2 linked regions of the Rhinolophus ferrumequinum genome follow. The protein of the gene in region 1 purifies or fractionates together with the protein of each later gene. This does not show direct contact. Links are inferred from orthologs where the notes say so. Each region holds a gene or a part of one and is shown on either strand. Other genes may lie near its edges.

The links.
Region 2: the proteins of MTCL1 (region 1) and MARK2 purify together in Homo sapiens (affinity purification with mass spectrometry; 5 studies listed by BioGRID and IntAct, with this or other methods). This does not show direct contact. The link is inferred for Rhinolophus ferrumequinum from reciprocal best matches to the Homo sapiens genes MTCL1 and MARK2.

The regions. Positions count from the first base shown.
Region 1 is NC_046302.1:9,198,069-9,212,870, forward strand, and holds the start of MTCL1 (microtubule cross-linking factor 1), read right to left. Parts: upstream 6,854-14,802; 5' UTR 6,720-6,853; coding exon 5,685-6,719; intron 1-5,684. UniProt on the Homo sapiens protein: Microtubule-associated factor involved in the late phase of epithelial polarization and microtubule dynamics regulation.
Region 2 is NC_046294.1:7,480,574-7,495,396, forward strand, and holds the start of MARK2 (serine/threonine-protein kinase MARK2), read right to left. Parts: upstream 6,366-14,823; 5' UTR 6,287-6,365; coding exon 6,233-6,286; intron 1-6,232. UniProt on the Homo sapiens protein: Serine/threonine-protein kinase. Involved in cell polarity and microtubule dynamics regulation. Phosphorylates CRTC2/TORC2, DCX, HDAC7, KIF13B, MAP2, MAP4 and RAB11FIP2. Phosphorylates the microtubule-associated protein MAPT/TAU.

The sequences.
Region 1 (14,802 bases):
TGATGGTTAGTAATTTTCAAACTAACATTACATTAATTTTCTAATTTAGAAAACATAGACAGCATATTCTAATTTAGAAAACACTGTATTAAAGAACCGTAAAGATGTTGGCCATTTAAATGTTTAAGAAAACCAAATCAAGCAGAACAAAAAATTTCTGGCAGATACAGTTTAGACGTAGTAAGTAAAAGTGAAAATTTGCTGTTATTTTTTTTCCTAAATAAATTAATAAGAAAATAATTGCCCTTAACAGTTTCATACTGAAGTAACATCAGGTTTATCAGATACTTAAATTTTAGATCATTATCTCATTGAAAAGCTAATCTAGTTTTAATTATATCTATCAAATTTTGTATGTAAAAGGAAATATTGTAGTATGAATCTCTTCAACTATTCCCCTTCGCCTGCAGATAACAAATTGAACCTTATTTTATAATATTCCCCCTTTGCCTGCATATAATGAATATATATAAAATTAGAGGAATAATGAGGTACCATGTATACACTAGAGTAAGCCAAGATTAAAATGAAATGTTTCAATGAAAAACCTCTGTGAAGATAACTTTAGCCACAAGTGCAAAATAAAAACCATACCCATGGTTTCTTAGTATAAGTGATGAAAACTCTTGATCATACTGATAATTTTATTCAAGTCTTAATCTCCTTTCAACTACCCAAAATCAATTAGTAGTTCTATTTTAATAACCCCTCTTTAAATAGACCCAATTTGAACAGTAGGAGGAGTCATCTGGCTACTGTTGTAATAATTCCATCTTCTGGGAGTTATAGAAAGAAACTGTTGTCTGCTGTAATACACAAATAATCCACCTCATTTCCCTCCGGACAATGGAAATGTTCTCTGCAGAGCCCCAGCTGTAGCTAAGAAGGTGCAGGGGCTGCTAACCATTGTTTACCAAGTGACAATTCACTCAGCAGCTGACGGGCTGTTTGCCCTATTCTGCATGATGTTGCCACCTAAGATTATTACAGCCTGTTCTTTCACAGGCTGAATCAAGAATGGATGTAGAAAGTGGAACGTCGGGGAAGAACAGGAATGCTGTCCACTTTAACCCTTCGAAAAGAAAGGGAGGAGGAGCAGGGGCCAGAGGAGAGAAGGAGGAGCTGAAGCACTTCAGAACTGCTTGGTCTTACCTCACAGTGCCCTCTCTCTCTGGGCCACATTGAGAGCCTGGAATCCAGGCAGCCAAATTTAACACAAACATGTCAGAGCCTGAAACTCAAGAGAGGACCGCAAGTGAGGAACAGGATGGTAAGGTTGGTTTAGTGGTGATGCACTGCATCTTATAAAACCATAAAGACCTTCCCAATGATCTCCCTTAGGAAATCACTCCTCTCAAAGAGTCCAATCAATGTTACCTGCCCTTGTAGGTAGCACTGACTTCTTTTGTTTTAACCAAAAATAAGTCTTATGAAATAACCGAGAAAGCAGAGCAAAAAATAAATAAATAAATAAAAGCAGCAGCCCTTCCCTACACCAACCCTCAGCCATCCTACAAAAAGTCAGCACTCAGGAGTACACCATTTGGGAGCAAGGGCTGGGGGTGATGGGAGTGCCATCACCAGTAATGGGAAAAGCCTTTTCAAAACAGGCCTATAAACTCAAAGTGATTAGATCCTTCTGAAAAGCCTGTGGAAACAGAGAACATAATTAATATGTTGTTCACAATGAGCACTAAGGCTTGTCTGATTGTCTCAGAACACTTGAGCAAAACACAGCGGTGGCAGGCAGGATACACACCAGCCACATTCTGTGGAAGTCCTCTTCATTAAGAAACGTGCCTGGGTTTGGTTTGAGAAAAAAGCAAAGGACTTTGGGTAACTGAGCTCAACTGTTCACCTAAATTTCTGAATACTTCCAAATATATCCAAGTTCATCAGAGATAAAGGGCAAACAAACGAGTGCTTTTCTGTGCTTTATGCAAAATGCCCACTACTTGGATTGAGGAATTTTTGCATTTTTCATTGAGTCACCTTGATGCCCTTTGATGAAGGCAGAGAAGGAATAGAAAGTAGGGCCAGAGATGGCCCCATACTGCACTTCTCTGTTGACATTTGCTGTTTTTTAAAAAATACAGCAGTCTGGCTAAAAACCCAGAGAACTCCACTTGAATTTCCCGACCAATAAGACATTCTCCTATGGTTTTGCATGCCTTGTTTTTCTGCTCGATTACCCCTTGGCCATTCTAGTTTAGAAGGTATGACAGTCTTATACAGTAATGATGACAAAACTGTGAACGTTACACTAAACGTGCTCACAATCCTCCAGAATATATCAAAGTAAAATTTCTGGGCTCAGTCTCTTCTTGTTAGATAACATTTGAACAGAGGGATGCTCTATCCAATCGCCACAATACTGTGCAATATTCCCTAAGAAAGCAGTAGGTCAGGTCGACCCAGTGGGGTTGGAGCTCCGTGCTCGAACGCCAAAGTTGCAGGTTCAATTCCCACACAGGAGGTGAGCTGCGCCCTCTACAGCTAAGATTGTGAACAATGGCTCTCCCTGGAACTGGGCTGCTGTGAGCAGATGGATGTCGGCGTGAGCTGCCAAAGGCTGCTGTGTGCTGCCATGGGCTACCTACCATGTGCCACCGTGAGCGGCTGGTGGCCAGCGTGAGTGGCTGCCAGCTTGGCTGGCGAGAGCTGCAGTGATCTGCTGTGGGCGGCTGACCGGCAACCTGCGACCGACTGCCTGGGGGGGGAGGGAGGCGCAAGGCTCATGGTACCAGCATGGGTCAGGGAGCTGTGTCCCATACAACTAGACTGAGAAAGGGCAGCTTGAACCAGAGTGGGGGGTGGGGAGGGGAGGCGGAAAAAGGGTAAAAAAAAAAGAAAGCAGTAAGTCAAGAATGCACTTTCACCTACCATCTAAAAAAGTACCGCTAAGCAAAAAGATCAATAAAAAGAGAAGTTCTGACTTATAATGTACATGTTCTAAACACCACATGTGAGGGCATGCCTACAGCCTCTACCCCATGAGGTCATCTATGCTCCCCACCCAATTTTGCACAAGTGGCTGACCTTTAGAAAAGTCTACCAGGATTGTTGTTTCTTTCCCAAATCGAACTGTTTTAATTTAAGCTTTTGAATGACCAAACACATAACTCACACGTATATTTGTGATCGTTTATTTGTGATCATTCTTCTGGTCCCCTTCAGACCTCCTCTACCCATTTCTCTCTCCTGCTGTCAGAGGAATGGCTGGGAGATGGCCTCAGGCATAGTAAACAGTTGGCCATGACACTTGCTCCACAGGAAATGGCAACTGAACATTTCCCACAAATTAAACATTGCCAGTGATACTTATATGACCATTTGTACACAGGCTAGTGGAGAGATGTTCATTATGGCCCTTTCACCTAAAAAAAGAAAAACAGGCGCCCTAGGGAAGTTAAGCACTGGGGACATTTTGAGCTAATACGACTCTAAGGCAAGCAGCTTACTCTCAGAAAAGCAGCCTTGCTGGAAAGAGGTTGCAGCCTGGTGCAGTGAAAAGAGCAAAGGCTCTGGAGGCAGGGAACATGGAAGCTGTACCACTTATAAGCTGTATGACCTTGGGCAAGTCATTTACGTTTTCTGGGTCTCAGCATCCTTGTCTGTGAAATTGGGGTTATGATAAATATAACAACAATCATTCCCTATTTGTTGTGAAGATTCACTGAAATATCAAATTGACCAGATCAGCCTCCAGGGTCAGGCACCTATTTCATTCACTGAGAAACTAACAACATGAAAAGATAAAGCAAATAACCAGTTACCCAGAAATGAACCCTGAAATGATGTTGGACTGCTTACCTTAAGATCCAAGATGTAACGAGAAATATCTTTTCTCAAATAAAAAATTTTTTTTTTCTTCCTTAGCAGTCATGATTTGGATCAACATCAATCAGAAACAGTGGGTCATGGATTATGCTAAGAGTTGGGGTTACAAAACTGATCAAGATTATCTTTCTTGCTCTCAGGGAGTTTACCAAAGTGCTGCTTTCAGATAGAGTCCCACACAATATAGTTGCCCTTTCTCTTCAACACTTTTGAATTTCACTTTGTTGTCTATTATTACATAAGATTAGCAATGTACTATATACTAAATAGTAAATATATACTAAATACCCTGTTTCCCCGAAAATAAGACCTAGCCGAACAATCAGCTAGCTCTAATGCGTCTTTTGGAGCAAAAATTAATATAAGACCCAGTATTACATTATATTATATTATATTATATTATATTATATTATATTATATTATATTTATTATATATTATATTATACCGGGTCTTATAAGACCTGGTCTTATATTAATTTTTACTCTAAAAGACACATTAGAGCTGATTGTCTGGCTAGGTCTTATTTTCGGGAAAACACGCATCTCACTCCAAGTCCCAATCTATTCTCTTTTCTCTCTTTTCTCACGTTTCTCCTCTGTCCCACTGTTACCTTTCTATACAAGATAAAACATCTACTGGGCTCAGTTGGTCAGATAAAAGGTTTAGGAAACACTCAGCAGTTAACTGATTCCAGTTGAAACTGTGCACACCACCACCACTCACCATTAAAGCCCACACCCTTCGTCCCACCTACCAGAAACTGGGCCTCAATCAGGTAGGTTCAGCATTTGCTAACAAGTACACATCATAACACACTGATAAAGGAGAGCCACCCCAAATGGTTTGGGGGGGGATATATATTCTTAATAGAAACATAAATAGGTTTATACCACTGGAACTATTTACTAACCTGAGTATTACAATAAATTAAAACCGTTGCCCTCAATATAACCCCCCTTATTTTCTCTCAGGTCATCTTGTCTTGACTACCCCAACATTGGCTAAAACCCTCTGTTCTGCAGCGCCAGCCCTCCTCCTCCTCCGAGAAAAGATGGAGTCACATTGAGCGCCCGAAAGCTAACAAGACTCAGAGGCCATGGCTCGCAGGCCCTGCCGGGAAATACTGAGACCGGGTGGCAGAGGTTGCGATTCCCTCGAAAGTGCTGGCTGGCGTGTAGAGGGAATCAAGTGGCCTCTCCTGACTAGGAATAAACGGCTCGTGAACGCTTAGAGGCCTGAGCTTACAAACACTGTTGTCCCTAAACTAAACCTAGGCCACACTCAAAGGACCCCTGAACTTAAGGTTTATCATGGAAAGCTGCCTGTGCTTTCTGAACCCCGGAGGAAGACACAAGGCGCCTGGCTTTCGGTAAATGCGAGAAGCAGCAGGCTGGTGGGCACCATGGACCACCGCACACTCCGGAACTGACACACCTCCGTACGGAGCCGGGACCAGACCTTCTTGGCAGAAGATAACGCGCTCCCATAGGTGAGAGTGGGCACGTAAGGGGGGTCGGGGATCGATTGTGCATCCAAAACGTGATTATAACCACCTCTCCCCCAGCACGTCGACAAGGACAAAGGCCTCAGGCGAGAGAAGCAAAACTTTTAGAAACAAGAAAAGCTAAGTGGGTTGAGAATCTGCCCGGACCCACAGATCTTGTTGCTCCTTCCAAAACTTTTAGCTTAAGTTGCCAATGGCCAGTGTGTTCGGGAACAGGAAAATGAAAGGCAGAAAGGAGAAAGCACTTGTCAGGGCCAGGAAGGCGCGGCTCGTGGGTCCCTGCCCGCACCCAGCCCCTGAAGAGTCGCCTCCGGACACCCTCGGCAGCCGGCTGCTCACCTTGAGATAGTCGTTCTCCGAACGCAGCTCTTCCATCTCCCGCAGCAGTTCCTCTTCCTCCCCCGCCGGGACCTGCCGGGTCTGCTCCCCCGGGCCGACTTCCCTGGGGGTCCCGGGTGTCGCTCGTTCTGGGGGCGCGCGCCCCCCGGCATCCTCCGCTCCGCCCGGGCTGCTCCGACCTCCGAGGAAGGCTCCAGCGGCGGGAGGCGCGGTGAGGAGTGCGGGGTGCTCTGGGCTGCCTGGCGGCGCCCCTCGAGCTACAGGGCTCGTCGCGGGGGCTCCTCGCAGGGGTTCTCGGTCGCTGGAGCCCGTGCCGGACTCGGCGTCGCTGCTGGCAGCGGGGAGCAGACGCTGCTCGTCGGACAGAGGTTCCGAGGGGCAGTCCGAGAGGTCCGAGCTGCTGTCCGTGTGACTGATGCGCGAGCCAGGGGCAGGAAGGCTGCCCGAGGAGGTCACGGCGAGGATCACCGCTGGGACCGGGGCGGCGAGGGTCGGGGGACCGGCGGGGCGGGCTGGGGTCGCCCCGGAGCCTCGTTTGGCTTTGCGGCCGTTGGCTGCGATGGGCGGCGGCTCCGCCCCGACCAGAGGCGGAGGTTTCCCAGCCCGGGGCAGCGGCTCAGCGGGCCCTGCGCGCACTGCCTTCTTGGGGCCCGGAGCGACCTTGGCACCGCCAGCTGCCTTGGCCCCGGAGCCCGGCGGCGGCTTGTCCTTCGCTCCAGGGGTACCGCCGCTGCGCCTGGAGAGGCGGCCGGGCGCGGCCAAGGGCGCCGGCGAGGGCGGCGCCTTGCCCGCGAGGCTGGGCGAACGCGGGGCCGCGGACGCCGAGGATCGGCCGGAGGAGGTGGCGGCAGGGGCTGGGCTGGGCGCCGCTGGCCTGCCGTGCAGGTCCTTGAGGAATGGTCTGGCCGGCGAGGGTGCGCGGTGCAGCCGCCTCCGCTCCGCCAGGGGGTGAAGGTGGTGGCGGTAGTGTTGTCTGGGCTGCTGTGGTTTCGCGTCCGGGGCGCCACCGCCTGCGGGGCCATTCAGCGTCTCCATGGCCAGGGCCGGGACCGTGAGCAGCAGTTTGGGTGGAAGATGCTCCGCGTAGCGGCGGCAGTGTGCAATCTCCCCGCGCGCTCGCTCATCACTGTCCCCCAGTCCCGCCCGGTCTGCGCCCCGCGCTCCCGCGCTCCCGCGCTGCCGCCCGCCCTCCCCCCCCCGCACCCCTGGCCCCGAGGATCCCGCGGGGCTCGCTGTCGTCGTCGCCTCGCTCTCCCCTTGCTGAGGTCACAGCTGCCCGAGTTCTCCCGGCACAGCAGCGCAGCAGCTCCCTACCGCTCGCATCCCCTGGACGCTGCGCTCCAGGCTCGCGGGTGCGCTGCCGCGGCCTTGCACACCCGCACTCGTCCCGCGGCAGCGCTGGAGGCGCGCTCCCAGCTCCCGCGTCCTGCTCCCCGCCCACGGCCGGCCGGCGCTCAGCAGCGGGCGCCCGCTCCGGCCCGCGCCCGCTCCCGGCGGAGAGAAACTGCACGCGCTTTCCCCCGCCTCCCGGCGCCCTGCGCCGGGCCGCCGGGTGCGCATGTCCCGCCTGCTGCCAGCAGGCGCTGGTGGTGGGGGAGGGAGGGCAGAAGGGCGGGGCCTCGCTACCCCAGGCTCGCTCGCGGGCTGCGTCCCTCAGCCCTCACTGCCTTGGGACCCTCCCTGCCTTTTGAGTGCCCAGAGGCAGTACCAGGTGCTGGGAAGGGAGGGCAGTAGGAGAGGTGAAGTGGGGGTGGGGGGGAAGGGTGCGGGCACTGGCCACTTGGGGGAGACTGGAGGTCCGGGAGTCGTGGGTGGGCCTCCCTGTGGTGTGTACCTTAGAGCGCCGCTTTCCCTCGGCTGACCAACCAGAGGACCCTCAATCCAACCCCTGCCTCCCAGAGCCCGTTAGTTCCCGCCACTGGTGTCCTCTCAACGCTATGCCGGTAGTCTCTCCACACTCCATTAAGGATTGCTGGTACCTGATGCAGCTATCGCGTCAAAACAGACACACTGCTCCACAGTTGGCAGGCACCCTCAGTGGCCTCCAGAGCTCAGAGAAGGGGGAGCTGCTGCAGAAACGGGAGAAGCAGCTGGCCAAGCTTGGGGTCAGAAAGGGAACTCACATTTATAGTGCCAGCAGCGAGCCAGGCACTGTTAGACACTTCACAGGTATTGTTTTATTTCATCCTCATAACAAGCCCGAATTGGAATTATGACTTCTGTAAGGATGAGAACACAGGCGCAGGGAGGTGCAGTTGGTGCATTAGCCAGTACTGGACTGAGCCGGGATTCACACTCATGTCTGTGGAATTCTCAGTCCTACATGCGATCCCCTCAGAGAACCAGGAGCTTGAGTACTGTGTCTGCCACTTGAGAGTCTAATGTGGGCCACTGACCTCTTTGGGACTCAGTTTCCCTCACCTGTATGGTTAGAAAATACTGACACCTGAGTGTTTGTGGGATTAACTGAGCAAATATGAGATAACACTGTGTAAACTGTAAAGTACTTTTCAAATACCATTGAGCACAGTTTTAGTCCTAGGCATAAGATGTTGGGCAATACTTAAATGAATAAGGCACAGCTTGTTGACAAGACTCGGCTTTGCTGGGAAGCTAAGGAGCAAGTAGGGGCAGTACGTGAGATGACGCAGGAGGGTGGGTGGGACCACATTTTTTTGCTGCGGATTTTGGGTATTTTCACCAGGAGGGGTGGGGTAGACGCGTTGGAGGATCGGGAGCATGACTGAACTTATTTGCTTAGAAAGATTCCACTGGCGGCAGGAGCAAGGGAAACCGGTGAGGGGAGCTGTGGCAGTAAGCACAAATGAGGAGCAGTGGTAGAGAAAAGGGGACAAATCTGTGAAAAGGAAAAACAGACTTCAAACTCTGTGATCTTAACCACAAAGTACTCTACTTAGCCACCTGCTTCAAAAAAAACGCATGATAAAGTGATTTTTTAAAAACCTCCTGTAAGTCAGGAGAGCCATACTCCCAGAAGACATCCGGTCAGCTTTCTCCTCAAATCCCCAAGGAGATGCCAGCCGCGGTCCTGTGACTGAACTCTGAGGACACTGAAACTTCGGTGCCCTGCTGCTGTCTTACGTTTTTTGTGAGTGGTTAATCTGGCAATTCCTGTCATTGTGTGACAGCACACACAACATATAATCTGTACTAAATTTCCTTTGATGCAAGATCTAATAAGACCACAGCCATATTTCGGGAGATTTTGGAGAAAAAAAGATCCTGGTGATGACAACACTGCAGAAAGGCTTTAAAGGTACCAGCCACCATGCCTGTCGTGACCAGCTCTCCCCTAGAGGGCGCTCAAACTCTCCCCTTCCGGCGACTGTCAGTTAATCAGAAAAGTGATAGCTGTCAGTCCCCAGAGCAGGACTCGCTGGAATTCAAGCTCCAGAACCTTCACCTAGAACTTCCTCCAGACACTCAGAAGTCTCGAACACCCTCACATTTCTGAAGAATTATGTCCAGGACTCTTAGCACAAGCTTGCCAGCTCCTCAGACCGTAGGTAATCATGTAAAAGGCCATCTTAAAAATGTTTCTGTAAATTTGTCTTCCAAAAAATATGAGCCAGATGATCACACTATTTATAGCCAGCTTACCTTTCCCTAGTGTAATAAGTCAAACAAAATTTGTACTCCTAATTACCCTGGTACCTGTTTCTGCTCGCCCTTGGCAAGGAGGTGTGCAATAATGTTTTCCTTGTTTTCCAATATTCGGTGAGGTGGTAGAATCCAATATTTCTGTAGGTGGTAGAAAAACATACCTGCTTGCATAACAGATGTTTTCAAAGTCACATGTGACTTAAAAAATTTCTGTTGTTCAGTCAAGTTAGTCTAAAGGCATTACGGGGGTGATTATTTAAAGGAGCCTTAAAATGTTTTATTCTGGGAAACAACAAAATCCAGTGTGGTTGTGTCTGTTAGGGTTTGTCTGCCCTCAGACCCATTCCTCGCCCTTCCCTGACTGCACTCTGTAGAGAGAGGAACAACCCCTAAAGGTTGGTTTTTCAGGTTCCTGGGTTTGCTGATTGGGTTGAGCCAGTGGGAGGTGCTGTCAGGAGACTGGAGTGTGTAACAGCAAGGGAGAAACCAGGGTATTTCTTCTCTCTTTGCCCCAAGGGGCCACTTCAGAGTGGCTGGGTGTCCTTTATGAACTGGCTTATTGGAGTTCCAGCTTTCACTGAATGACCTACTTTCTCTGATAACTTCGCCTCTTCCTGCTGCCTCTCAGTCAAGGGTGGCAGTGGCTTCCTGTGGTTGCAGATCTCTGGGTTACTTCACTGCCCGGTTTGCCTCTTGACTCCTCCCTGACCCCTGTAACCAGTTCCCTGCTTTTTAAGTCCTGTGTTGTTCCAATTTTCTCATTCTTCTGCAGAAGCCTAAGTACAGGCCCAGGAACTGTACGCAGCAGCATTGGTTTAAGAAGTAATTTGCTATGACGTACATTCCTGACTTCCTTGTCAAAGAGCAGTGTGGTATGGTTACAGGTGCTGAGGCTTTGACACCAGGTAAATAAGGTATGGGTTCAAATCCTGCCTGAGTCACTTGTATTCTTCATGGCCTTAGGTAAGGTACTATTATCAATATCATCATTATTGTTTAATATCAGTGGAATAATCTTCAATACTCTTTAAAATGTGAGCAAACCAAACTTGGAGAGCGAGTTAGAAATCTAGTCTGTATCTATACATTTATATAAAGAGAAATGATTTTTATTGTTTTTACTTGGTTTGACTCATAGAGGGAAAAAATATGATTTAGGACTACACTTCCCTTACTGCTCTGTACTCACAGGCAAAATTTCTACAACCTCAAAACCTTGTCCAAACCTAAGCATATAGCTATTTTCCAGTTTTATTTCCCTTAGCACAAAAGCACATTTAGAATATAAAATCATTCCTGATTTAAATCATAAGAAATCGTCTTCTTTGAAAAGAGTAGAAAGGAGGTATTTTTTTAAGAGAGTGGGCAATTATTTTGGTGCTTCAGGAAAGTTAGGGGTTTAAAAGAGACAACCTGAAGTCAGATGGCCCTCCTGAGGTTGAAGCTGATATATCTCACCCTGGGGGTGGGTGGGTGCCTCCAGCTCCTCTGGCAGGGTTACTGCCAAAATGCCATATGGGACCTGAAGCAGGCCAGTCCTACAAGGACCCACTGACCCCTCCTCATACCCAGATTGGCAGCTGTGCAAGGTGGTAATGGTGGTGGTGACTTCAGAGGCTCTTAAACCTGCGTACCTTAAAATCACCTGGTTAACTTGGTAACAATGCAGGTTCTATGGCCACATCTTTACACACAAAACAAGAATAGCTTTATATGGAAAGCAAAAATAGAGCAATGGATTTATAGAAGGTTCCATAGCAGACAGTGCTTATGAAATAAGTTTCCTGATTAATTCAGGAGATAGGACACTGTATAAGATCACACCTAAAAATACATTTTAATTATTATTTCTATGTAAAATTACTGTCAAGAGAATTTTACCATTGAGAAGATAAAACAATGTTGGTTCTATGCCTAGTCACAATGATTATTCACTAACTTGGACAAAATAGTTCAGTCTTCCTGGGCCTTCGAGGCCTCATCTATAAAATCAGGGTGTTGAACTTAAATAAGCTTTAATGTACGTCCCAGCTTAATGAATCTGAGGGTTGAAGTGAACTTGCAAGTGCCATTTTAATTATCAACCTTGGATTATTCATAGTAAATTGTAGGTCATCTCTGTTCATTCTCTAACAAAATACACTCAAAGAATATAAACGAATGTCAACAGAAGAATAGTATAATTAAGAAGGTTAATATGACAGAATAAGTGTGATAAATGTTATACATATTCCTGATTACCCTATAGGGGCAGACTCTTGAGAGTTAATCATGTTTTTTAAGTGGTCCTCAGTATTACTGCTTAGAATAAGCCCATTTCCTAGTTGCCTCTTTAAATATTGCCCACAGGGTCTAAGAATTTGAGAGCAGAAAGAGGCCTTAGAAAGCATTTGCAGTCCTCTCATTTGTCACCCCTGATTTAGGAACTCCCATCACTGGTATCCACAGGTTGTTATTCTGAAGCAGTCCTCTCTTCTATAAGGACTGCTTTCGGGTGATCACATATTTTATCATCAAGACTACAGAATATTTGAATGAAAGGGGTTACTATTAATAATTACATGAGACAACAGGCATGAACTGGACCTGGACAGGCAGCTCGGACTGTATGGTCACCTATGATTAATGTACATTCCTCAAGGTAAGACTGTCTCCTGACTGGATCTGACTGACTCATGTTTATATTCACTAAAAAGACATGAACTCTTTTCATTTTCTTTAACTCTTTTAAGTATAATTGAAATAGAAAACTTAAAGAATATCCATAGCCTATTTATCTACTCATTCATTTATACACTCATTCATTTAAAGATTATTTATTTATTGAACACCTTCTAAAATACTAGGTTATATATAAATATTGGGCATAGCAGGGATGAAAAATGTGTGGCATCAGACTTTATAGGATTTATAAGCTCATATAAAAAATTTTACGAACTGGTTATTCAGTGTTTCATTATATTGTTTTTCTTAGCTATAATACTTGTAATCCATTGAGAATTACACTAATATAAATTCCTCATGTATTTTCTTTCCAGTGAAGTGTAAACTTCATTTTTGTTGAAGAGTGTATGCTAAATCAATGTTATGTTCTCAAACCACTTCTTGAGAAGAAGGTACTGATTTGAAATTGTATCGTTTCCTTCAGAATGAAGTGCAATACATATATACATATATATATATATACACATATACATATATATATGTATATGTATATATATATATATATATATATATATATATATATATAGAGAGAGAGAGAGAGAGAGAGAGAGAGAGAGAGAGAGAGAGGAAACAAAACCAAAGCTGCCCCTGATATCCAGAGCTGGCCTCCACTCTCACTGAGGCCTCCATGTTCCTAGGATCTGGCCTGGCTCTCAAAGCTAAGCCTTGGCATTCTCCTGTTAAACATAAACAGTGTCACAGAACCTCAACATCAGACAAAGAGGCCACTCTGGGACTGTGATGGATCAAGACAAAAACAAGGCCACTCCATAGTCATGTCTGAACACAGATAAAATACAAACATTTTCTAAACCTCAGAAATAAGCAAACATCTCTCTCTCCCAGCTAATTTGAATGACTGCTGCTTCTTATCCATTACAATTTTAGCCTGGCTCCCATCGTCCCACCTTTTAGATAAGATTTATTAAGATCCCCAGTCATAGAATTACCCCTTCACTGAACCCTCCCCAATATCATCTAACACAAGTCCAAATTCCTGTCCTTTCTAACACCCTCTTATTGAGCGCTCTCATGGTGTCATTCTCCCTCACTGTCACGAGCAGTATACCCAACTAACTCCACCAGAGGTGTGTGTGTTCCCGGTGTGATGATAATTATGACTGTCAGCATAAGGCAAGGACTCAGGATGAAACTGAGTATAGCATCCATTCTGTTTTGCACATATATGAACATGTGAAAGATAGTTTTTGTACTTAAATGGGTCTTATTTCTCCTTGAAAAAGACTACATAAATATTAAAAAAGCATTATTGATATATTTAAAGGCCATATGTCTCTGAGCAAATAAACCTGCTTAATACTTGCCTAGATCAAGCCTACTTTGGAGATGACGCTGAATAGAAAGTCTTTAGCTCCATAAATTGCTTTTGTTCTACAGTGAAGCAAGGACCTTATCTTTTGCACCAACACAATGCCATTTTATAATCTAGGATACAGCTTTCAGCTATTTCCTGCACGCCTAAGTCCTCTCTGCCACGCGAGGGAATTGGTGTTTATTTCTATTTTCTCTGTAGGATGCTTCTGACGTATAATTAGGGAGCTACTAATGTGAGTCTGGAAATGTATCAAGTAATGAAAAACGAAATAATCATAGAAGCATAGAAAGAGGAGATAAAATAAAAAGTCATTTCTTATTCAACATCCAAACGTTCTTTGTTTCATTAACACAGTATTTGAAGGATATAACTGTTTTCATCCCTAAAAAGATAAGTGAGATAAAATGGAATGGCCATCTCCAAAAGTATAATTGCAAGTGTTCTGGAAGGGTGTTGTCTAGGCTGATGGCCATCTTTCAAGGATGCTATAAAGATTCTTATCTGGGCAAAGGGTTCTTTCTCAACTCTCAATCGTCATATTCTTGCACTTCTCTATACAGTGCAACCTTCTCTAGTCCAGAGCCACAGGGCAGTACAGAAATCTGCACACAGTAGGTAGTTAGTGTATCTTTGCCTGTTACATAGCTAATATAACTCACCAATGGAACAAGTAGGTGTCAAGAAGAACACAGCGAGGAATTTGCAGAATTGGAGAGAGCTGCAAAAGCTGCCATTGTTACTATAGTTTTCCTTCAGGTCTTTATTCTGAAGGATGACAAGACTAATACCTGTGCCATTACCTTGCATCTTTAATGTTCCGCATACTGCTAACATTCCAACATATTGTGTCCTCATACAATCATAAAAGTTGCCTTTCTTTCCTTGTTCCTACTCTTAAAAGTTTCTACAAATGTATCAAGTTCAAGAGTTTTTTTGTTTTTGTTTTTGTTTTATTGGGGGCGAGGGGCATGACACATGGCACAGCAAGCAGGATTTGGTGTCGGCCAAAACTCTCTGTACGGCAATGGAGCAGTTTATACGTATGAAAGCTCAGTTTCAGAAGGCCCATGAGAAGCTGCGCTGGAACGGGAGGCACAGTCTGCCTGGGCCATGTGTCATGCAGGGTGTCACGTGGGGTCTCAGCTCCTGCTCCCCACATAAGAACGCAGGATATGGTGAAGCCAAAAAGGAACACCCACGAAGCCATAGATAGGGGAGTCATACCACTATATTCTCGCTGGCAGCCAGGCGAGACACACAAAGTAGGATCCACACGATCTGCAATCTGCCAGCCGCTTTTCTGCCTGCCAAGCAACCAGAGTCATCATGGCAGTTACATCAGCAGCCAGTTGGCCAACCAGCTACAGCCAATGGCCAACCCTAATATGCAGGGGCCGGAAGATGAGCATTTTACAACTAGTATGAGAGATCTGG
Region 2 (14,823 bases), on another chromosome or scaffold:
TCAGTACTGGGGGGAGGGGGTTGTTTACAGACATCGTCCAAACTCATGCCTCAATGAGCAGAGCCCCAGAGGAGGCGGACCTTTGTATTGCCCATTTCCCAAAGAACAGAGGAAAATAGGCCGAGGCTGCTCAAAACCAGCTTGACTGGTTCTACAGAGAAGCCTCAGGTCTGCTCCGCCTTCCTTATGTTAAAAAGAAAAAGGTGGCTTGGAGCCAGCCATTGAACACACCCCTCCTCTTCTCTCTCTCCCCCCCCACCCCCACCCCACCGTCCCACAGGATTCACCAAGCCACCAGTATCAGCGTCCATCTCACCCTCTCTCCTATCAAACCTTGTGATTATATGGCTTTATAAGCCTAAAATTAATCATATGGGACAGAAAGAGAAATGCATTTGTTTTTGCCCTTTTTACCATTTTCTAATGAGAAATGTAAGAAATAAACAGATGTAAAGGGAAATGAATGCCAACCCAACGACAGAAATCTGTAGAAAGAATTCCCCACAGGACCCCAGAAACTTCCAACACTCTAGGCAAAAACATTCATTCACATGAAGGGATAGAGCCTATCTATCCCCCCAAAAGGAGGAGTAGGTCTAGTGGGCAAGAGCTGAGAGAGAGCTAGAAACCAAGAGGCCAGATTCTTTCCTGCTGCTGTTTCAGAATCAGAGCACCATCTCAAAGCCTAAAAGACAGCAGTGACGGACGTGCAGCGGGTTGTGGGGGGGTAGTGACACTGCTCTAAGCGCCAGATTTGACACGGGATGGGTGGTCTCTTCCCACGCCAGAAGTGGGACATGGGTGGTGTCCTCCACCCCAAGGTTTGTAAAGGCTTACTCTTCCCTTTGCTGAGACAGAAGCGGAAAATGCATAGATAACACTTCAGTGACTCACCCGTGTTTGATGAAGGCTGGGAGAAAGCCTGGAGAATCCCAGCTTTAAGTGCAAAATGTACAAATGCTGGAATCTCCCATCAAGAGAAGAAAACTCAGCCACTATCTGGTTTGTCATTTTGCTGAACTTCCGCTGAAGGAGAAAGGGCCAGGTTTAAACTCCACCCACCCCGTCCACATCCCTCTCAATTTTTGCTTTGACAGGCAAGTGGCAAACCTGGCAGCACCACCACAGCTAAGAGAAAATGAAACACTCTCCACACCTCCTCTCAAAGCAGAGGCCTAGTAGCCATAGTCTGTCTACAGCTTAACCAAGCAGAGGGGCTTGGGGCTGGGCCTGGCTTCCACAGGAAAGCCTCATCAGGCAGTCTCAGGGAAGGAAGGACCACCACCCTCTTTGCCCTTTCCATCTGCTGAGGTTACTTCACCCCAATCCATTAATGGGCTTCAAAGTGCTGCTGGGGAGTCCATTTAAGCGGAGACGCAATCAGGGGGCCAAAGGTGGCGCCCAGCCCCCATCCCGCTTGTCGATAATGGGCCACAAAGTCTGAGGCCTGGCTGCACTCTGGGCATAAAATATTCATTCAAGTCGACGTAATATATATGTAGGAAAGTCACGGAAGCTCCTGGGAGGAGGGAGTAGCCAGCCAGGTGGCTAAGTGCTCAATGGGAAGAATTCCTGAAGGCATGGGTTTGTACTGGTCAAGGGGCTACTGACAATTGGGTTGTTCTGTTCAAAAGGGAAGAAGTCTAGTCTGAGAAGCCTTCGACTCCCAAGAGACCTAACCACACCAGCCTCGCAGTCAGACAAATTCTCAACCTTTTCCTGCCTCACAGGCATCAACTCTGCTTAAGACATTTACACTGAAAAAAAAAATCTCAGGCCCAATCTTTGGTCACCATTGGAAAAATTCAGTTATCTCTATGCAAACTTGATTTTAATCTGAGGCAGGCCACGTTTCAATGACTGCCGTGTATCCATCTGTTTAACTCCTTCCCCAAATCCACAGATTACTGAGAAATTATTACAATTTACTCGGCAGTTACCTTTACTGGGGTTCAAAGGTCATGGTATGGCAATTCTGTGAACTCCAGGTACTCCTAAAGCCCTTACTCTAATAATATCTCATTCCTGATTTCTAGAGCCAAGCAGAAAATGAGAATACAATAGTACCTCGGTTTTCGAACGTCTCCGTTGACGAACATTTCAGTTTAGGAACACCGCAAACCCAGAAATAAATGCTTCGGTTTTTGAACATGCCTCGGAAGTCGAACATGTCACGCGGCTTCTGCTGAGTGCAAGATCCTGAGGCCTAGCTGTCGGCTGTTTTCGGACGTTTCAGAACCCGAACGGTCTTCTGGAACGGAGTACGTTCGAAAACAGAGGTACCACTGTATATGGTCTGATATTCAGCCACATTCTTGACCAGAAGGCAGCACCAATAAGGAGCCCCTGGCCAGAGCCAAAGGGCAGAGGTCAGAGTCAGCAGCACCCAGAGCCCGGTGCCGCACAACTCACAGGGCATGGAGAGAAATGAGAGTTAACCGAGCTCTTCACGAGATGACACTAAAACCAATTATGCAGTCCTACATTCAGCCAGAACCAACCCTGGGAGCCAAGCGATACATGTGTTTGGAGTGGCTCAGTTGTTCTTTACAGGATCCTATATGTTAGATTTCCTCTTCACCCAGACATCCAAACTCCTCTTCCCAGATCTAGCTGAGAGAATGAACAATGGCACTCACTTGCCAGAAGAATGACAGCAACGCCCTCCCTAGCCCACTGTAGCAGAAGTGTGTGTGTGTGTGGGGGGGGTTATGAAAGGCTCCTGTTTTCTCTTGGGAGCCCTTTCTGATGGCTCCTTAGGCCAGACATGGGGCAGGCCTGAAGCCATGTAGCCCCTCTACCAGGTGTTACAGACAGCTGTAGGCAGCGGCAGGTAAACTCTCGAAGTTGGATCCCTTTCCACATTTGCCTATTTGCTGCTGCTGGCTGGAAAACAGTCATCTTGCTGATTGCAACTCCCCACTGCCAAGCCTCCAGGCCAGAAGAGCCATTTGGAAAAGTGAACAGAAAGCTCAGCTCACAGATTAAGAATCCCCCAAACTACCAGCCCCTGGTTACAATCTTCCTTCTGCAAAAGGAAGAGGGAAGAAGAGTCTGGCTGTGATAAAGCACATCTGAAACCAGGTGTCACAAAAATCATCTTAAAGACAGAGCTGACTTTCTTTTATCTCCTACTTTCACTGTCAGAAGCAGAGTCCATAGCAAACAGGCAACCCCCCTGCAACAACACAAGGTTTACTTTTATGCTTCAACATTTTCTTTGTATGTTTGTGTGTGTTTAGTTCAGATGTGATCAAAGAGCTCCTGGAAACAGCTTCTCATCAGCCACATGTTTTAAAGACTGGAGGAGAGGAAGAGCAAAAGGAGACTGGAGCTTGAAGACAACCAGTGGGGTTTGTTTATCTATTTTCCAGTGACACCAATTTAAATAATTTAAATCTAAATAAGGTGATAGAGGACCTCTGGGGGGGCAGGAATCAGCCCAACCAAATCCCTTGCTTTTCTGCTTTTTGTTTCATAGCATAAAGGCTTGCTGCAATGACTGAGCTTCCAGGACTACTTAGTTAGAATCCCAACAGAAGAGCTGTTTTTGCTCTCTCATCTGAGGGCATGATCAATTCTAAAGGAAGTGATGCTTCCGGCATCCCTGGTCTTGGGACCCAAGGAGATGCTACTTGTCTTTCTTCTTGTTTTTAAACATACAGGCACCTGACTGTAATAGGTGTATCCGAGGTTTCCCAAAGTCCACGCTTTTACTAGGATGAGACTTAATATCAAGTCAATAGTGAGACTGGCTACCATGAGAAGAGCAGAAGCTAGGAAGTGGTTCAGGAGAACTTAAGTTCATCAAGAGCAGAAATGGGATAATTCATAATTTGGAACGGGATGGCACTGCATGCAGCCACGGCTCCGGACAAAGTTATCAAAGAACAGCTTCCACTCCCAAATGGTTCACTGATTCCGGCCATCATAAAACCAGTGGGTGTGTGCCGAGTTCCCACCATGCTCAGCAGTATGCTAGGCATGTAGGGAGAGAAGAAATCAACACGCACATCACTAGAAAAGACCATGGCAAGAATACATTTACATTTAGCAGACAGCACAAAGGAACCACATTGAGGCGGTCTGTTACTCTACTCTGCTCAACACAATGCCCCCCACAGCCTCGCGGGGAGCAGGCATCCACTGCCACTCCCCAAATGCAGCAAGGTGCCAGCCAGTCAGTCCCTTGGCCTCCTCCTACCAGCTCATAATCAGCAGTCTGGGAAAAGTTCTCTGGTTAAGCAGGGTTTACCTGCTAAAACAAAGGTTGTGATAGGAAAAGAAATGGAACAGGCAACCTCAAGAGGGCCTAGAGAAAGTGGTTCTCAGTCAGGAGAGAAACAGCTGGAGAGCGAGGCGCTCCCGTTTGTGAAGCCCTCAGTCCCAGCCCATGCAGAACCAGCACCCAAACCCGGGGACACAATGGAAATCATCCCTCCCTCCCTCTCAACCCCGGCTTCACTTCCAGAAGCAATCAACCCATCAGTAACGAAAGGGTCAACCACTGCACAGAAACACTCAGTCCAGAACTCCTCCTGAGTTCCTGACTGCCCAGGTGACAGAAAGCAAGGGGGGCAGGGGGGAGTAATAAAAAAGGAAAACTTAGGAATGATGGAAAGAGGGAAGATTTTTCAGAGAAGGATGTTAACATGCAAGCGAATATAGCAACAGTTCCATTGGGCTACAAAGATACAAAAGGAACAAGAGGAAAACATAAAGGATATAATGAGGTAAAAGGATGCAAAAAAGCACTGCAGCCCCAGGGGAGAAGGGCTCCTTTCTCAAGTTAAGTTTTTTTGGCCTAGTAAAGTTCTCCACCAAGGAGGGTGTGACAGGCAGGGAACACTCCACAAAGCAGTCAGCAAGGGACACTGGAGATGGTGAAAGAAAGGGGAGGGGTGGAAGGTGGACGTCTCTCAGTTCAGAGGTGAGATGACATAAAAAAGGCTTAGGCTTGGGTGCCAAACCATAGCAGTGATTTGTTAAGATGAGGGGGACTGAGAAGCTCGCATGCAAAATGCCTGGATGGGAAGTTACAAAGACTAGTCAATAGGAAGGGAATGGATAGGGGCATATGGGGGAAAATAAATACGACGTGAAGAAGACGGGAGACTAATATGGAGCTGAGAGGCAATCCTGATTAAGAGGCACAGTAAGGAAGATGGGGTAGAGAAATCAGAAGGGAACAAGCAAGGAGGAAGATACTATGAAAAGTGACAGACCCAGGAGTGGACAGACAAGCAGGCATCATGGTTTGCGTTGCAGTGTAAGAAGACAGGCAAGGAGGGTGATGTAGCGAGACCTGGGAAAGGACCCAGCAACAGGTTGTGATAATGGAGTGGGAAGAAATAGTAGTGTGTTTCCCTTAGTAGGAAAAGCCCAGGGAGAAGGCTGGCAAAGCACTCACAGTGACAAACAGAAGGCCAAGAGACTTAAAAGACAAAGCCAGGGGAAGAGAACATGAAGGATGCAAAGACTGAAGGGAGTGAAGGCTGGAACCCCAAAGACAACCTGTGGGAAAACTATGCGCATGACAGCTGTATGGGAAACACGGAAGCAACAAATGCCAGCGCGAGGCACCAGGGAGCTCCTGTTGAAAAGAAGGGAAAGTGATGAGCAAAGAGTAGGCGAACGATTTGGAAAGGTGATGAGGGTGGAGCTGGTGGGTTGCAAGCAAGAGGGAGAACACAATTTGGAGAAGGAACAAGCAGGGTAAAAAAAGCTGGGGAACTGGAAGGGAACAGAGACCGAGAACACAGTCCGGGGCAAGGACCCTGAGGGTGATGACCAGGGACTGGGAGAACCGGTGCGGGCGGAGGAGAAAAGGGTAAAGAGATGTAAGAAGACGTGGACAACCATCTGGGGCAAATCGCTGGGTACTATTTGAGGAGGAGGGTGGCTGCTTGAAGCGTGGGTGGAGGAAGACCAGAAAGGCCCGAGAGAAAAAGGGAAGAGAAGGGGAAGCTGGGGAGGTAACACGGAAGAGCGCGGGAGGGCGGTAAAGGGAGAAGGGGGGGCCAGCAGAAAGACAAGTGTGCAGCGTGGAGTCAGGACGAGGTGGGTCCTAGGACAGGACTCGGAGGAGGATGTGCGGAGCCGAGAGCCCGATGACAGGGAAGCCGAGGCTTGCAGGATAGCAGCAGGGGCACGAGGAGAGCAGAGAGGGAGGAGGCTCTGCAAGGTGCAGGGGCCCAGCCAGAGAATTCGGGGAGCCATCGGGGCTCCTTACCTGCTCCGTGTCCCTCTCGTTCAGCGTGGGTAGGGGGGTCCGGGCGCTGGACATGGCGCCGGTATCTCAGGGGAGGGAACCGAGAAGCTTGGAGGAAGGGAGGGAAGGGAAGGCGCGGAGCCCGGCCGGGCGGGGTTTCTCACAGCAGGGGCACCCGCCGCATGGGCCCCGGCCGGGGGTGCGGGGAGGCCGGGCAGCCGCTCACGCCAGCCCGGGGATGCGCCGCTCGGGCTAGGCCGCGCCGGCTCCGAGCGGCTCCGGACCGCACCCCCCCGACCCCCGGCTGGGCTGTGCCGCCTTTCGGCCGGGCCGCGCCGCTCCGCCTACTCTCTGCCGCCGCAGCCGGCCGCCTGCCTCGCTCCTCCCCTGCCCTCAGCGGCACTGCTCCGCGCCCGGCACACAGGCAGCCGCCGCCGGACCTGCTGCTCCCAACATGGCCGCCACCACCGCCGGCCCTCGGCTCTTTCCGCCGGCAGCAGCCGGAAATATCCGAAGCGGCCAGGAACGGGAGGGGGCCGCGCCTCCTCCTCCTGGCCACCGACTATGGGTTGAATTCCAGAAACACCCGAAGAAGGTAACCTCCAGGGATGCGCGCGCCTCCTCGATTGTGAAGACCAAGCTTCGGCTCTGTTTTCGGAAATACACGAAGCGACTACGGGTACTCCAGCCCCGCCCACAGGCCTTTCCCCGCCCACTTCAAGCTGGTTCTCGGCAGTTTCCGGAAACACCCGAAGCCGCTCCGCGTGCGGGGAGCCGGCCACGCCCCCGCCCCGCCCAGTCCCGCAGCCGACGGCAATCGTCGGCCATTTCCGGCAACACCCGAGGCCGGGCGAGTCCCGGGTCATTCCCTCGGGTGGTACCGAGTCTGACTTCGTTTCTTTCCGTCAGATTTCGGATATTTTCAAACCTTGAACAGGTAGCGTGTTATTCTTTAACTAAATAGAAAATAAGGCCGTTAGCCGTCCCTGCCATTGGCATCCTTTGGTTCTAAACCAACTTCCCACCTGCGTGTCTGTTCGTTGTCGGTCAGCTCATAAAGTCCATCTCGTTTATCATCCAAACTGTCTATCAAAATGTGTCATCTGTCAAATGTAGCATTACTCTATTACCTGTCCATCTACTATTCATCACTTGCCACCGTCTGTCTTGGCTTCTTGTCAAGCTCCCAGGCAAGCACCAGGGCTGCGCCCGTGGTTCCCAACTGCAAAGGTCTCCTGAGCCCTGCATTCTGGTCCCGGTGTGTGGAACGAAAATGCTGTGTGATCTTGGAAAAATCACATAACGTCATCACATGAGCTTAGGCTCCGAGATGTCCCTGTATTGAACGAGTCAATGCCTTTGTTCCAGTGATGAGATTCTAAATAACAGCTTTTAATTCTAGTTGCCTTTTTTCCCCAAAAAAAGTCTTAATTGTTCAAAATAGCACAAAACAACATCACACCACGGTAATATTGAGTCCTCCCAGGTACTTTTTAAAATATTCTTGCAAACTAAGGCAGGAAAGACGTTCTCATCTTAATTCACATTTGAGTTATCCCTTCTAAGACAAAGAAACTCGTGGAAAACAGACATTGGTTGCCAATGAGAATTCCTCAGGGTGGCACAAAGAATGGGCACCTGGAGAAGTTCCTTTCCTTCCCCGGGACTCAGTTCCCCTAGCAATAAACTGAGGTCTTTGGACTCGTCCGCTCTGAGTTCCCTCTCATCCTTGGAGAGCCTCTGATCCAACAGTCCATTTGGCAACCTGGGTCCAATCTTCACTTCCCCCTAAATTGTCTCAGCAGGGAAAAGCAGTAGGCTGATCTGATTCCTCTGGCTCCAAGCTGTCCCATCCATCTTACTCCAGACATGTTGGAACTTGCCTTCCTGCCCCTGCCCCAGGGCTCAAGTACAGCTTAAGGTGGGCAGAAGCCAGGGTTCCCACAGGAGCCAGAGACCCGGTTCAACCAAGTCCCCAAAGGTACAGGAGCAGAGAGGCCCCAGGGATTGAGGGGAAAAGTGCTGGTTGGACTTCTGACACTTGACTTCTAACTCCCAGCGATAGCATCTTGAGCAGAGAGCCCGTGGCCAAGTGAACCAGAGAAATACAGAGCCGGACAGATGCAATGAGAGGGTGGTATGAAAGTACTTCCTAAGGCAACAGGTACTCTCTACAGTTGTAGTAAATACACTGGACTCCAGAACACCTCCCCATGCCCTGCACCAGCTCCATTCAGGCACTCAGCCATTGAGGAAGAACTTGGTGAAGAATCGCTGAAGGAGGTTAGGGAGATAGGGAGGAAGACGTGAGGACAGAGGCCATTCCACACCCCCCACCCCAAATTAATCCTGAAAATCCATGAGAATGATCTGCCCTCTGGTGGCCAAAGAGAGACACATTGCCGATTCGTGGCGGATCTCACTCCTAAGGCTTAGGTCTGGAAAGAAGGGAAAAGAGGAAGGGGTTGGAGTAGCAAAGGAAGGTGCACTCGGGTCTTCTCCGACCCATGCTCCTGCCTAAAGAAACTCTACCACCTCCCTGCTTCTACTCATTCACATTCTCACCCCAGCCTTCTGCCTCTTAGCCCCACCCCCACCCCACCTGTCTCCTCCTCTTCCTCTCTCCCTCCACACAAGGCTGCCTAACTGGTCTCTCAGCCTAGACTCCCTCCAACCTACCCCACCAGAATAATCTTCCTAAAGTCCAGCTCCAATTACATCTCTGTCTTTCTTGAAGGCTCTCACAGGCTCCCTTGTAGGAGAGGCAGGATTGGCTTCATGAGCCTACTTTTAGAAGGGCCTTGCGCTTGATTTAATGCTCTGCTGTCACTCTCTTGAAATTTTTACCAAAAGGGTCCTGCATCTTCATCGTGCACTGGGTCCCACAAATTTTGTAGCTGCTCCTGGAGGTAGGAAAGCCTTTAGCCTGCATCCAAAGCTTTGCATATCTGGCCTCTACTTATCTTGCTAATATCCTCTCCAGCTAGGTATCACTGGTTGACACCTCCCCCCAGCTCCTGCCCTGCCACCAAGCTCTGCCACCTCCATGCTTTTTGTTCAGGTTGATCAATTAGCCAGCCACCTACCTAGGCTTCCAGGTGTACTTAAAGATCCAGTTCGAGTATCACCTTCTCAAATTCCTGAAACCTCCTAGTTCTCTTCAAAGATTAATTATATGTTGCCACACATTTACCCCTTTCTAATTTACAAATTCATTCATCCACAAATCTCTGTTGAGCACCTACTATGTGCAAGGCCCTGTTCTAGGCTCTTTAGGTATATCAGTGAACAAAATAGACAAAGATCTCCACCCTCGGAGAATTTACATCTCAAGTGGGAAAAACAGACAACAAACAAAATAGTAAGTATTAAATGCCATGGGAAAAATATAGAGGCAGCTATAAGGGGGATCAGAATTGTTGGGGTGTAGGGGTGGAAAAGAAATTGCAGTATTAAGGTGGTCAATATAGGCCTCCCTGAGAAGGTGACATGTGAGCAAAAACTTGAAAGAGGTGAGGGAGTGAGCCCTGCAGATATGGAGGAAGAGCATTCCAGGAAGAGGGTATAGCCAGTGCAAGGGCCCTGAGGCAGGAGCGGGCCTGGCTCATTAAAGAATCAGGCGGCCAATGAGACTGGAGCAGAGTGAGCGAGGGGGAGAGTAGTAGGCGTAGAGGGCAGAAAGGTGATATGGGGCCAGGCCTGGAGGGCCACTGCTGTGGCATTCCCTGAGAGTCAGATAGGGAGTCTCTGCAGTGACGTGATCTGACTGGCTGCTGGGCTGAGAATAGAGTGAAGGAGCAGAAGCCTGGAATCCAGGAAGGAGGCTTTTCCGATAATTCAAGTGTGAGATGACAGTGGCTTGGAGAGGGCAGCAGCAGGGGAAGGGGTCGGATTTGAGTTATATGCAGAAGGTAGAGCCAACAGGATTTTTTGATGGATTAGTTTGGAGGGCTGTGAGAGAGAGGAGTTAAAGATAATTCCAAGCTTTCCAACCTGAACAACTGAAAACAAAACAGAGACAAAAATAAAGGCATCTACCGCAGCTCCAGACCAGGTAGAAAGGAACCAACATGACCAGTGGTCCAGGGCAGCTGTGATGCCCACTGGAACCGTGGAAGGCAGAGCTATGGGATTCCCAGCTCCAGCACAGCGAAGGGGCCTGAGGGTAGCAATCTACCCCACCCCCCCCCCCCACCCACCCTTGTGGGCAGGAAGGGAGGAAAGAAGCAAAGGGAGGCAGGGATGCTGGAGAGAAAGACATCCTTATTCTCTCCCCTCTGAAACATCGAAACTCTTCTCAATCTTTCCCCTCCCAACCAGTGGAGTTGGAGTAATGCTCATGCTGGACAGGCCACTCCAGGGGGTGGGTGAATGGTCCAGAATTGGCCTCTGATCAAGGAGGGCCAAGACCCACTCCTGCCCTCTCACTTGTCAGAGACCTTCCCGTCTCGAGGAGCTTTGCCTTATTTTTTTTTTTGGCATCTCTGAATTTCCATCATGCGCTTTGTCACCATCGCCATATACCGTCTTGAATTTAGAACGTTCCAGAGATGCTAGAGTGCGAAAAAACGTGCATCTTAGAACTGATAGACTAGAATACGTTTGTTATCGGTGTTCCCTCCCCAACCACCACAAGGACAGGAACTGCCGGTCTCATTCCCCTTCCTGGTTTTGCTAACACACGTGCAGTTGCGAGCTGTGTAGACATCATCAGTTACAGTGAGCAGGAGGCAGTTATTACCCCCGGTCTACTGACAAGGAAAGCAAAGAATAGAGACGCTCGGCACTCTGCTAGGGGAGTGGGCATAGGGGAATGAACCCGTGAGAGGCGGGAAGTCGGGCAGTGACAAGGGGCTACCAAACGTTATCCACGGGCCTCCAGCCAGGCTGCCTCTTACTAGCTCCGTGATCTTAGGCGAGCCTCTGAACCTCTGTCCACCTTAATTTTCCCAACTGTCAAATGGGGATAATTTGCAAGGCTATAATGAGTTAATATATGAAACATACTTCGAGTCTGATGGATGGCCAGCGCTCAGTGTGGGCTGCTGTTATTAGCCTACTCTACCCAGCCTCCCAGTCTTCCTTTAAGGCTTTCTGCTATATCCACTCCATTTCCCTGAACAGCAGTGGATCAGAAGTAAGAGAGCCCATTCTGGTCTCAGCTCTGTCCCTAATGGATCACATAAGCCATTAGGTAATTCCCTTCCCCCCTTGGGGCTTCAGGTCCCTTGTCTGTACAATGAGGGGGAGCTGGACTCTTTGCTCTCTATGGGGTCTTCTATAATGCTATAGATTGAATGTGTATCCCCTCAAGATTCATGTTGAGATCCTAATTCCCCAAGTGATGGCATTAGGAGGTGGGGCCTTTGGGGGTGATTAGGTCTCAAGGACTCCATATGACTTAATGGGCATAACGGAATTAGTGCTTTTAGAAAAGCAACCTCACAGAGCTCCCTTGCTTGCCCCTTCCATCATGTGTGGACACAATAGGAAGACTGCCTTCTATACACCAGGAAGAGGGCCCTCACCAGACACTGAATCTGCCAGCGCCTTGATCTTGGACTTCCCAGCCTCCAGAACTATGAGAAAGAAATTTCTGTTGTTGATAAGCCATGAGTCTATGGTATTTTGTAATAGCAGCCTGAATGGACTAAGACACTCTCCAAAATCCTAACCCAGCAACAACGCCTGTCTCACCCTTCCTCATCCATGACCTGGCCCCATGTCTGGGATGGAGGGGACAGTGTCCCTTCCAGCCTTGCTCATATGTTCCTACAGTACAGTAGGAAGGTCTGACTGTCCAAGGAGACTACTGCACCAACCTGGGGAAGGGATGGGGAGAAGAAAGGGTACAAGGACGGCAGGGCACCTTCAGAGTCTGTTTTCCTGGGACGGTATGTCCTTTGTACCAACCTAAACTCCCACACTGGGTCACTGTCCACAGGCAGGTACTGCCACCTCCATTACTGAGAAGGCCAAACATCCTGGATGGAAAGCCGGGCTGCCATGTTGGCAGAGGCTCTATGAGAAGCATAAGTGGGCAGTTTTTAATGGGGCTCAGAGGAAGATACCCAAAGGAGGTGATCTGGGACCTGTGGGAGCATGGGAACTAGATGGAGGGAGCAGCAAGGAAGGCTTCTCAGAGGAGGTGATGCTGAGTCTGATCCCCAGGATAAGCAAAGGGCTACAAGGAAGGACTGGCAGTAATGGGAGCAACCCATGGAGGCATGAAGGAGGCCAGCCCTCAGGGAATTCCCATCTGGGGGGATGTCAGACGGGCCAACAGCAGCCCCCGACTTGGAGTTGGCAGAGGGCAGTCGGTACCAGCTGGCATCCAGGGCTCTAACTGGCTTCCTGGAAGAGGTGGAGGGCAGGCCGGGCAATAACTCACCAGTGTGCCAAGATGATGTCCCCATGTACCCAAAGCTGTACAGGAGCTCCCAGAGCCGGCAGGCAGGCTATCTGCGGGGGGATACTCCGCCTTCCTCACTGCCATCTGCCCCTGGAGGGCAGTGACTGAGGTCTCCAGTCCCAAGGAGAGCAGGGACATAGTATTCTGGTTCCCGATGGTGTCCTTGGTGCCTCCAACAGTGCCTGGCGTGTAGCAGGCTGTGAATCCCTGGGGAAAGAAAGCCACAGGGCTTTGTCCCTCCTTGTCCCCTCTGCCTGGAACTCCCCCTTTCCTTATTTAACTGCGTGGCTCTCTCTGCGTAGATGTCTGCTCCCGAGGAAACCTTCTCCAGCCCCCCTTTCAACATTGCACCCCCCCCATGGATGAACACGCTGATGGTATGAGGCGGATGCGATCAGCCAAATCCAGAACGGAGGAAATTATGTCTACAGGACACGTCATTGTGTTCTTAAACAAGGAAAAAGAAGGAAAAAAAAAGAGGAAAGATAGGCTGTTACAAGTTGAAACATATTAACTAAATGCAAGAGTGGACCTCATTAGATCCTGATTCAAACAAGTGGGCTATAAAGCTATTCATGGACCGGCCGGGTGTCTCAGGTGGTTGGAGCTCCATGCTCCTAACTCCGAAGGCTGCCGGTTCGATTCCCACATGGGCCAGTGGGCTCTCAACCACAAGGTTGCCAAGGTCCTCGAGTCCCGCAAGGGATGGTGGGCCCCGCCCCCTGCAACTAAGATTGAACACCGCACCTCGGCACCTCGAGCTGAGCTGCCTCCCGGATGGCTCAGTTGTTTGGAGCGCCGGCTCGGCACCTCGAGCTGAGCTGCCTCCCGGATGGCTCAGTTGTTTGGAGCGCCGGCTGTCAACCACAAGGTTGCTGGTTCGACTCCCACAAGGGATAGTGGGCTGTGCCCCCTGCAACTAGCAATGGCAACTGGACCTGGAGCTGAGCTGCACCCTCCACAACTAAGACTGAAAGGACAACAACTTGAAGCTGAACGGCACCCTCCACAACTGGGATTGAAAGGACAACTTGACTTGGACAAAAGTCCTGGAAGTACACACTGTTCTCCAATAAAGTCCTGTTTCCCTTCCCCAATAAAATCTTTAAGGAAAAAAAAAGATATTCCTGAAGAGTTCTGGAGATTGGTTGCACAACGTGAATGTACGTATGACTTAGCTGCACGCTTGAAAGTGGTTAAGATGGTAAATTTTATGTTATGTGTGTTTTATCACAATTAAAAATTTTAAGATATTCATGGACCAGTTAGGGAATATGAACACTGACTATATATAGATGACATTAAGGCATTATTGATTTTTAAAGTGTGATAATGACACGAACAGAGTCTGAATCTCTCAGTGATACCAACAGATCTATTTACAGATGAAATGACATGTCTGGGATTTGCTTTACAATAACCCAGAAGGGACGGAGACGTGGGGAGATGAAGATAAACCAAAATTGACCACCTCTGTTGAAGCTGGGTACATAAGGCTTCATTATGCCATTCTCTCTCTTCTTTTGGGTGTGTCTGGAAATATCCGTGATCAAAAAAAAAGAACAAAAGAAAAGAAAAAGGAAAAACTCGCGCCCCTCCATCATGCCGTTTTTCTTCCCAGTACTCACCCCTGCTGGCCATATCAGAACCTTGTCTGCTGTGTCTCCCCTGGATGGGGGTGCTGAGGGAGCAGGACTCTGTCTCGTTCACAGCTGCATTCCCAAGGCCTGGAGCAGTGCGTGCATATCACCCAGCTCACAGCTGTGGGCCCAGGTTGGTGTGGCCTCTTCAGCTTGAGCTCTGAACACCTGTCGATGTACAACTGTCTCAACCCCAGTTCTGACCTTGGAGGGCTATGGGTGAGTCTCTGAGACAAACCACTCACCTAGGAAGATGTGGGTGCTATGGTGGACAAGAGGACTTGCCCCAGGTTGGGGAGAGGCAGTGAGGGGACAGGGCAATGTCTGGACAGAAGCCTCCCCCCGCCCCAATGCCCTGCCCCCGAGTGTGGCCCAACCCCATATGGATATAATTGTACCAGTCACTGCTTTTGGAGCCTCCAAATACCGAGCCTGGCTGGAGCCAGGGTCACAGGTCACTAAGGGAGGCCAGGCCCAGCAGGCATGGCCTACCCAGGGGCCCAGGAGCCAACTTCTGGAGAAAAGGGGCAGGTGAGGAGCTAGATTCCATCCACCCTCAA